Nothobranchius furzeri: one gene and its partner. Each later gene encodes a partner of the first gene's protein in a complex. Links are inferred from orthologs where the notes say so. Each region holds a gene or a part of one and is shown in the gene's direction. Other genes may lie near its edges.

What was found.
Region 2: smarcd3b (region 1) and dpf3 share a complex: the UniProt entries of both Homo sapiens proteins name them as parts of the BAF complex. The link is inferred for Nothobranchius furzeri from reciprocal best matches to the Homo sapiens genes SMARCD3 and DPF3.

The regions. Positions count from the first base shown.
Region 1 is NC_091747.1:45,528,453-45,533,325, reverse strand, and holds part of smarcd3b (SWI/SNF-related matrix-associated actin-dependent regulator of chromatin subfamily D member 3b), read left to right. Parts: intron 1-744; coding exon 745-787; intron 788-2,500; coding exon 2,501-2,623; intron 2,624-2,721; coding exon 2,722-2,847; intron 2,848-3,765; coding exon 3,766-3,861; intron 3,862-4,873. UniProt on the Homo sapiens protein: Involved in transcriptional activation and repression of select genes by chromatin remodeling (alteration of DNA-nucleosome topology).
Region 2 is NC_091742.1:25,621,235-25,626,107, forward strand, and holds part of dpf3 (zinc finger protein DPF3), read left to right. Parts: intron 1-1,415; coding exon 1,416-1,576; intron 1,577-3,660; coding exon 3,661-3,768; intron 3,769-4,873. UniProt on the Homo sapiens protein: Belongs to the neuron-specific chromatin remodeling complex (nBAF complex).

The DNA.
Region 1 (4,873 bases):
CAGTTTTCTGATCAGTATTCTGATTTGCTCACACTGCAGCGCAATTGTTTCCAATCAGTGTCTTTTTTTTAGCATGAACAGACTCAACATCATGTTAAAGACATTCAAATAAATTAAACTTTCTAATTCGAGAAGAGGCTACCCTTTTGTTTTCTAATCAATGTCCAACGGGAAAAAAAAGATTCTGATAAAATTTCAGAAATTAAAGAACACGTATTGTCCGTCTCTGGTGAGTATGAAAGAATTTTAAAAAGTAAGTGCTTGGAAGTCATGAATGGAGTGAAAACTTGCGTCTTTTTAAATGAAAACAACAGTGAAGACTGAATTCCTGAAAAGCTTTATTAAACACATCCTGTCTACCTGCAGCATCAGTGACCCTATAGTGTGTGTGTGTGTGTGTGTGTGTGTGTGTGTGTGTGTGTGTGTGTGTGTGTGTGTGTGTGTGTGTGTGTGTGTGTGTGTGTGTGTGTGTGTGTGTGTGTGTGTGTGGCAGAAGATGTGTGACTTGACACTTTGTTGGCTGTAGAGGCTCACTCTCTCCAGGTGGACCGCTGCATTTCAGAGAACACACGGACAGAGAAACACACACACACACACACACACACACACACACACAGCTGGGAGGCTGGGGTGCTGGATATGGCCCAGCATTTTAGCAGATGGCCTGGGTGCTACGCTATCAGTCACCATAGTAACATGCTCTCTTTTTCCTCTTTCTCTCTGTCTTTCTCTCCTTGTCTGTAGTGCTAAGAGAAGGAAAATGGCAGACAAGATTCTTCCGCAAAGGGTGAGGCTGCATGTATTTATCTTTGTTGTGTTTCTGTATCCTTTTACCTTTTGTCTGCAAAGCAGAAAGATCCTGGTCGCCTTTTCGATGCCCGGGGTCCTGAGGCGGCGCCAGGGGCCGGATGATAATTTGTTATTTCCAAAATAAGAAGGGATGGGTGGAGTGGAGAAGAGTTTTCAGGGTGTTTGTTGTTTAAAATTGAAGTGGTTGTTTGGGTGTGTCAAGAGATGCAGACATGAGTGGGATAGAAACAAGTCGCAGGTGAGTTGGTGGCGTTTGCAGGTTGTGATTTTCTTCCTGTAGCATCAGGTTTTTAACCGCATCCTGTAAGAGAGAGGGGTGAGTCTGCTGAGCTCTGGGCGTCTATGTTCAGGTCTTATCCTCTGACGTTACCCTGACAGAGAGATAGCAGAAGTCATGGCATGGGGTGGCACTCCACTACAATGAGTCAGGCATGGGGAATGTCTTCCACACTTCTCCGCCGGCTCGGCACCTCGGCCCGGTAAAGAGACGCAGATAGAGGAGGAATGAATGGAACAATGAAGGCAGGCTCTCAGGAAGAAAGATGAAAGAAGCTGGAGGGAGGGTGAGGAGCTGTAGGAGCAGTGTGCAGCAGCCCGCCATGCTTGGTGGACTTTCATCTGTATGGTAATGTTGGAGTCCTGGCTGTTTGTCTGCAAAAACTGAATCTCATTTTAATCCCCTCATGCCTGTTAAACACACACGACGGCTTCTACTAAAGCTTTTTATTTCCATGCAACCTCATTAAAGTGCTTTAAATGTGTGGGACACTTATTTAATCATTACATTTGCAGTGATCTATAGCAGGAATGAATGCTCTGTAAGTCCTGCTCGGTGGAGAAAAAAAGCACAGATGCGCCTGTTTCATGAACCACCAGAATGCCACATCAGTGGACAGCTTAACACGGCGGTATTTAGAGTCTTACTTCCTGATATTTGGACATCTCGCCTCTGATTGGCTAACAGCAACATGACTCTACCACTGTTTGCTTTGCAATGTGGATGTTTTATCTCCACAAATAACACAAGCCTGGAGGAGATCAGCTGTGTTGTGGAGTTGCTAATGCTAACAGTTAGCTTCTATCAGCCGAGGCGTTCTCTGCTGTTTCTTGGATGCTAAACCGCCAACAGCCTTCAATCTAAAAAAAAAATTCCTAATAACATCTGGCTGAATCTATCGCGATATATGTGGTATATCATGCCAGCAATACACATGCCTAGTCTCTCATTAAATTAGCTGCATACACATGCTTAACCTTACAACATGTTAGGGATTAAGTGCTAATTGCTGCTAATCTAGCCTATTAACACAGTTCAAGCACTCAATTTGACTACTTTAATTAAACGCCTGTCAAATCAGACTGATTATACATACATAGTTTATTGATTTGGATGCAAGATACTGATTGTCTACAAATATTACTGACACTTGCAGCTAAGCACTAAAGGTGTGTGATGTAAAGTTTATGACATTACTAAAAACTGCAAAGGTTTTATCTCTTTTTATCGTTTGATAAAAATAACTATTTTTACTGTAGTAACTAAGATGTGTTAGCTAATATGTGTTGAATATTTAAGCTAACACGAATCAGCTAACACACTCAATTTTTATTTTTAACGAAAAAATCTGACTTTTTCATTCCTGTTAGGTTCTGATTAAAATGTTCCTAAAGTGTCTTCCTTCCTGCGCAGATCCGTGAGCTGGTACCAGAATCTCAGGCCTACATGGATTTGCTAGCCTTTGAGCGCAAACTGGACCAGACAATCATGCGTAAACGCGTGGACATCCAGGAGGCGCTGAAGAGACCGATGAAGGTAAAACCAGAAGAAAAAGATCTGATCGGGATGGTGGAGTGGACCTCCTCGGGCGATTTCATACTAACCTGTTTTCTTTAATGTTCCATTTGTGTCAGCAGCAAAAGCGTAAATTAAGGCTCTATATTTCTAACACCTTCAACCCGGCTCGACCCGACGCGGACGACTCAGATGGCAGCATTGCATCATGGGAACTGAGAGTTGAGGGCAAGCTGCTGGAAGATGTGAGGATTTTCATGTATTCTCAGCAGGGTTTGAATTACACACAGTCTTCTGGGGGAGCCCCGTTTCCTTGGGTGGGGGGGCTGTTGTCCGTCCGATCACCTTCATTATTGCGCCATCGGGGGGGGGGGCTAGATCACTTTTGAGGTTACCTCGGGATGTGTCAGTTGAGGGCTTCTGGGGGAGCCTATCACCTTTTCAGGGGAGCCGAGCTCCCCCTAGCTCCCCCGTGATTCGAACCCTGATTCTCAGACATTTTTAGTTAACTTTGGAGTTTTATTTCAGAGGGCACCGTCTAGAGGAGGAAAAGTGTATTGCACCACAAGCCCCTCTCTATTCTCGTGATCACAGCTAGAAGCAACACCTCTCGTTTGTTAAAGCACACCTTTAGCTAGCCAACAGAGGTAAAACACAATTATTATTCTCTGCACCAGTCTAGGTACGTCGTCCAACTCATGCGCCCACTTGGTGATGGTGCATGTCTAACGCTTCAAATTGCATGGGGCTCTATGGAACGGGGGGGGCTGGCTCCAATGTAAAACTATCATTTTTACTAATTTCTAAAAGATCATACGGTATATAATTCCTGAAAGAGGGAAAACTCTGAATTGCTGCTTTAAAGAACTGGTTTTAGGAGTGTTTAGAGATGACAGTAATTAGTTCTGAGCCGTAGGAGCTGATGATGTCAGCAGCAAAGTGCGCGAAAGTTTCAGAAACCAAAAATTTTTCAGGTTAGGTCCAGAGGAAGTGGGTTCTTTATACGTCTGCTCACTGTTTTAATGTGATCTCACTCAGCTGCTCGTGGTTTCTTACACCTTATGAAGCTAAAAACAAAGTGCATCTATTCATCTATATTTGTGAGTCCACCCACACGTGCACACAGCCGATCCTAACCCACCACCTCTCGTCTGTCCCAACAGCCCGGGAAGCAGAAGAAGAAGTTCTCCTCGTTTTTTAAGAGCTTGGTGATCGAGTTGGACAAAGATCTGTATGGGCCAGACAACCACCTGGTGGAGGTCTGCACAAACACCCCAACACTACTGCCTGCCACCCACCGCCTCAAAAATAACTAAATAAATAAAACACACAAACTCACCTTCAAGCAGCATCTTTTGGATGAATCTTTAACCCCGCTGGGTTAAAAGGTGACTCAAAATAAATCTGAGAGCTTCTTATTAACATTTTACCTCCATTTCAACGACGTCAGATCTAACGGACACTAAACTTTTCACAACACCTCTGTTTTTACCCCTCAAAGTGAAATATGAAAGCAGCGTCAGAAGGTGGTCAGTCTGACGGGGAGTCTAAAGGAAGTCAAGAAATAGTTCAGCTTATAACACCCTCCTAAAACCGCAGCTTATTAGCTTTCCACTTCACTTAAAGTAAATGTGAAACAAATGACAGCTGGGTGTCTGTCTGGGCTCTCTTGACTGTTTTAAGGTAAAAATGCTATTTTTGGTAGCTAGCCACCTTAAAATGTAGAATAAATCAGAATAAGATAACTTTTTATGTGTAAACAAAGCTTTTTTGGAAAAATTTAGCCAAATTCTCCATGTTTTCAAAAACTGATGCTACTTTTCGCCTGATTTTGACATTCTTCCTGAACAGTTTGTTCCGTTGCTAGTAAAGAGCTTTTCTCTGCTGCACAAATCACTAAAGCCGTTCAGTCAAGGTCGACGTCCCAACATTTTGTCTCGTCTGGCTAAATCTTCAGGAACACCGATCCCGCTTTGGCTGAACATGAAATTAAACAGAAACACGAGGCTGTTCAAACATGCTAATGAAGAAACCGGCTGCTTTATTTTAAACAACCAGCTGCTGCTCTTCACCTTACATAAAAATGTTCCGACGTGTTTTATGAAATCCACTTCAGGAGATTCGGAGTGGAAATCGCGTCCTCTCAGGGTTTCATCTTTTTAACCCAGCGCTCAGGTGCTTCGCTTTGAACCGTTTTCAATCAAAAGAATTCAGCTTTCCACCCTGAGACGCATTCAGGGTTTGATCTGTTGGGGAGCGTGTCAGCTGACA
Region 2 (4,873 bases), on another chromosome or scaffold:
TGACACGACAGGCTGTTATTAATCCCACTGAGATGATTGAAAAATTACATTTGTTTACATTAGGGAACTGAGATTTATTTCCTAATAAACACAGTTCTGGGTCAAAAGGGATGTCTGTTCCACACCACTTACTTAGGATCTTGACAATCCGAGTCCAGAAACATCTAATAGGAGCACATTCCCAGATATAAAGCATAAACGTCCCAATATTCCTTTTGCATTTCCAACATGAATCGTCATCCACTAGCTTCATTCTAAACAGTCTAGATGGTGTATGATAGTATCTGTGTAGTACATTATATTGCATGCTTACCACGATTGAGAACAATTGTTTTCCATTTATCATTATAAATCATTATGCCAAGGCCTTTCTGCCAGATCATTTTTAACTTGCTTTCTAGCTGGAAGTTTCACATCCTCAGTTACTGTGTTGTCTTCAATATTATACGGCTGCGAGGTAATGCAGCTTCTCATTTGCAAGAATTTCCAAAAATGACCCTTTCCCACTAAGTTAAACTCTTGCACCAGGTTATCATGTGGCAGAAACACCCCTTCTTTAAACAAATCACCAATAGTATTTAATCCTTTCACTTACCACTCTTCCCAGTAAACAGGTTTCTTCCCTATGCAGATCCTGGGATTATACCATAATGAGGAATATTTCTGCTGACTATGTTTGAGGTTTAACAGTCTATGGACTCTGCCAAAGCTGGTTTTTGTCCAGTTTGGCATTCTTTACATATCTGAGAGGAAAAATCCCCGAGAGGGGGTTTGATGGTCAGAGATATAGTAAACACAGAAGCAGGATATTTAGGATTTACCGACTCGAGCAGGGATCATTCTTCTGTTTTCAAAAGTTTGAGAAATTTTTCTGCATGTCTTTTTTTTTTCATTTCAAGTCACACGTTTTACTCAGTTTTATTAAATAAATTAATGTCAATATGAGTCACATGTTTCCTGTGGCTCTAATATGAGAATCTGGAACCTATTATGATTATTCTGTCTTTTAGGGTTAATCTTAATTATTATTTTGTGTTGCTGCTCTTTTTAAAACTTTTTTAGATCACATAAATGGCTTCAGGATATATATATATATATATATATATATATATATATATATATATATATATATATATATACACATAATTCTGATGTTATTTTCTACAAAATAAAGAATTAGAAAATCTCATCCAGGCTAAACATTTCAGATACACTCAATATTAATCAGTTTTGTGCTAAATAATAGCAACGGTGGTTTGCCGTACTCAAAACAAAATAAATATGTACCGGTAAATGAAATGAATAAATAAAGACCTCCATAAATGTTCAGTGGAACCGTTATGTTTCATGTTGGGTTCAGGTTTCGTCCTGCTCTGCTGCCTGACTATATCTGTGTCCCTCCTCTGTTTCTGCAGGCTCGGTGACCAGTTTTATAAAGAGGCCATTGAACACTGTCGCAGCTACAATGCTCGCCTCTGTGCTGAGCGCAGCGTGCGAATGCCCTTCTTGGACTCCCAAACTGGCGTGGCTCAGAACAACTGCTACATCTGGATGGAGAAACGTCACCGTCGGCCAGGTGAGACACACCTGGGAGAGCTTGTGGGGTGGTGGTGGGCGAGTGGTACAACACTATTTTCCCTCCAGTTAATAAATAAATGTTTAGTTCTACACTTTTTAAAATTTAAAAACACACAAAAACTCCACTCTCAAAACAATAATAGCATTATTCAATATTATCGGCTGATATTGGAATTAAAATATAACACATGAAATTATCGGGATGAGATTTTAAGAACCAGCTTCTGCTTTTTGCAGATGATGTGGTCCTTTTGGCTTCATCTGAAAGTGATCTCCAGCTTTCGCATCAGCTCCTCTAAAACCGAGACCATGGTCTTGAGTCAGAAATGGGTAGAATGCCTTCTCCGGGTCAGGGATGAGGTCCTGCCCCGAGAGCTGAGCCGGAAGGCAAAGCTCTCGATTAACTGGCCGATCTACATTCCTACCCTGATGTATGGTCACGAGATTTGGGTAGTGTCCAAAATGATGAGATCGCGGATCCAAGCGGACAAAATGGGTTTTCTCCGCAGGGTGCCTGGGCTCTTCCTTAGAGATAGGGTGAGAAGCTCGGTCATCTGGGAGGGGCTCGGAGTAGACCAGCTGCTCCTCTATGTTGAGAGGAGCCGGTTGAGGTGGCTCAGGCATCTGATTAGGACGCCTCCTTGGTGAAGTTTTTTGGGCACTTCTAATTGGGAGGAGATCGAAAGGAAAACCCAGGACACGCCGAAGGGACTATGTCTCACGGCCGGCCAGGGAATGCCCTAAAAGGTACAAAAAGTCCCTAAAGAAGTGTTGATCACCAGTTCAAAAGCTTGTTCGGGTTCATCTGAAACAAAATCTAAAGAAATGAGGGATGACTTTAACACTTGTAAATATGCATCCATTTCTTCAATAAGATCAGACTCTGATGTCTCAGAAATGGTTTTTCTTTGATTTATCGAGCAGTCGAGACTTTTTACGCACGTGCGGTTCATCTGAGAAGCCAAAGGGAACAATCATGCTTTTTTCTGAGACCTGAACAGAAATAGCCCGCTCTCCATCTCCATGCAAAGTCCTTCAGGCCACACCCTATACTTTGTGGCAGACCTAACACACATGATATGCATTTATTCTGGGCTTATTCCTCCCCCAACTTCTCCTGAGATTTTTATTTGATGCTCTACTCATGTGGACATAAAAGCTCTTCTCCTTTGCTTCTGTCTCCTAGATTATGGTTAAATGCGTAGGTAGTTCATTATTTATGAGCAGGGAGATAATTATGCTTTGCCAGAGCATTCTACGATTTTAACGTGTTTGATGAAATATTTTTTACTTACAAACAACAATGCCAAAAAAGAAAAAAAAAACTAAAATTAAATCTTTGTTTCTTTAACCAAACAAGTAATTTATCTGAAATAAAATAGCACCATGTTTAACAGGAATGCCCCCAAACCTATTATTCCCATCTAAGGAAATTAATTTGAAGGCTGAGAATTATTTATTTATTTATTTTAAACAGTCTTGGATTATTTAGGAGACCAAATATCACACATTATATGCTAACATAAGTCCTGCAATTTGTCAGGACCAACCAAACAGGCTAACGTCCAGCCAATCACGTATTGTGACGTAAACGGCAGCTCCCTCAGCTGATCTGAGAGCCTGAGTACATCTGATACCCCTGCATTAATTCCATGTAGATTTTGGTGTTATGCAAAAATGCTAAATGTGTGAAAATTAAAAAAACTTTGCTTAAAAAATCTTTGAGTCAACTATTATGAAATTTTGAGCAGTTTGATCTTTGCTTTGCTCTGGCTAGCCAATTGTTCATCAGTCAATTTGGATATACACTTTGTTTCTCCATACTGATGTTCAGGAAAAGTGAGATAGTAGCAATGTCTTTAAGTACAAGGCCTGTCCGTGGACCAGTGTACGTGCATGCGTGGGTTTGTGTGTGTGTGTGTGTGTGTGTGTGTACAAAACTCAATGGAGGGTTTGTTACCCTTGCCAGTAGGTTTTGAAATTCTTCCAGTGTGCCCATGTCTCTCCTCGCGCTCGTGTGTGTGTGTGTGTGTGTGTGTGTGTGAAATCTTATAATCCTGTTGCATACGTGTGTTTTTTCAGGCCAGGCTGCAGGACAGATGTATACGTACCCTGCTCGTTGCTGGAGAAAGAAGAGGCGACTCCACCCTCCCCTGGATCCCCAGCTCCGCCTGTGTGAGCTTCGTCTAGGTAAGACAAGACAAACAACATACAGGCACATTGCTGCACCGAACACACACACACACACACACACACACACACACACACACACACACACACACACACACACACACACACACACACACACACACACACACACACACACACACACACACACACACACACACAAAAAGATGGTTTTGACACACCGTTGCACAAATAAAACCACTTTAACTCATGCATTGTTTCACCTTTGCAAACTAATGTCAATTTAATAGAAATGTTCATCATTTCTCTCAGGATTGGGCCATCTGGCTCTGGTTATCCCATCTCTCACACCAGGTCTCCAGGTTCATTCGCTCCCCTGAATCAATCCCCCCTCTTGCTGTTCTGTGGCTGCATGCACACACTTTATACTAACACCCCCCACATGTGACTCTTTCTCCCCGCTGCAGCTCAGAAGCACCCTTAGTAGGCCTCAATAGTAATTTATTCACAAGACAATGACATGTGAGTCGTATGAAGTGGCAGCATTGCTTTATGATGTGCATCCGTGCATGCTTACAGTTTTTGTTAGAGGGTTTAAGCAAAGGAATGCTCAGGAACCTGATAAGATGGTGGATAAAGGCATAGCTTTGTTTCTGCTTTCCTCATCCATTGTTTCACCCCTCGCTCTCTTCCAGACGCAATATAATACTCCAGAGCTTTCTGCAAAGAATGATTCCTTTTTAAGTTGAGGAAAGAGAGCTGCAACCTAAGTGCATGACAGAAAATCTCTACAGCTTAAAGCGAGGAGATGGAGCTTTTTCTGTTTTGTTGTTTCGTTTTGCAGGTTGACCCAAATATCTACAATAACACCATGGGGATGTGAATACTCTCCTTTGTTTTGTTCGATGGTTGATGTTTATTTAATGCATCCTGTGCAGAGGTTTGTCTGTGTGCACAGATGCACAGAGGAGCTGTCATGAAACAGTGGTTTTCTTTATGCTTTGCTCTGAGCTTTTAGTGTCAGCAGCTTTTCTTAAAATAAACCTAAGTGATGTAAAACTCGAACTAAAGCTTGAAATGGCCATCACTGTTAGGGTATACAATGAGGATTTAAACAAAATTGGCATAAATACAATACATTTACTGT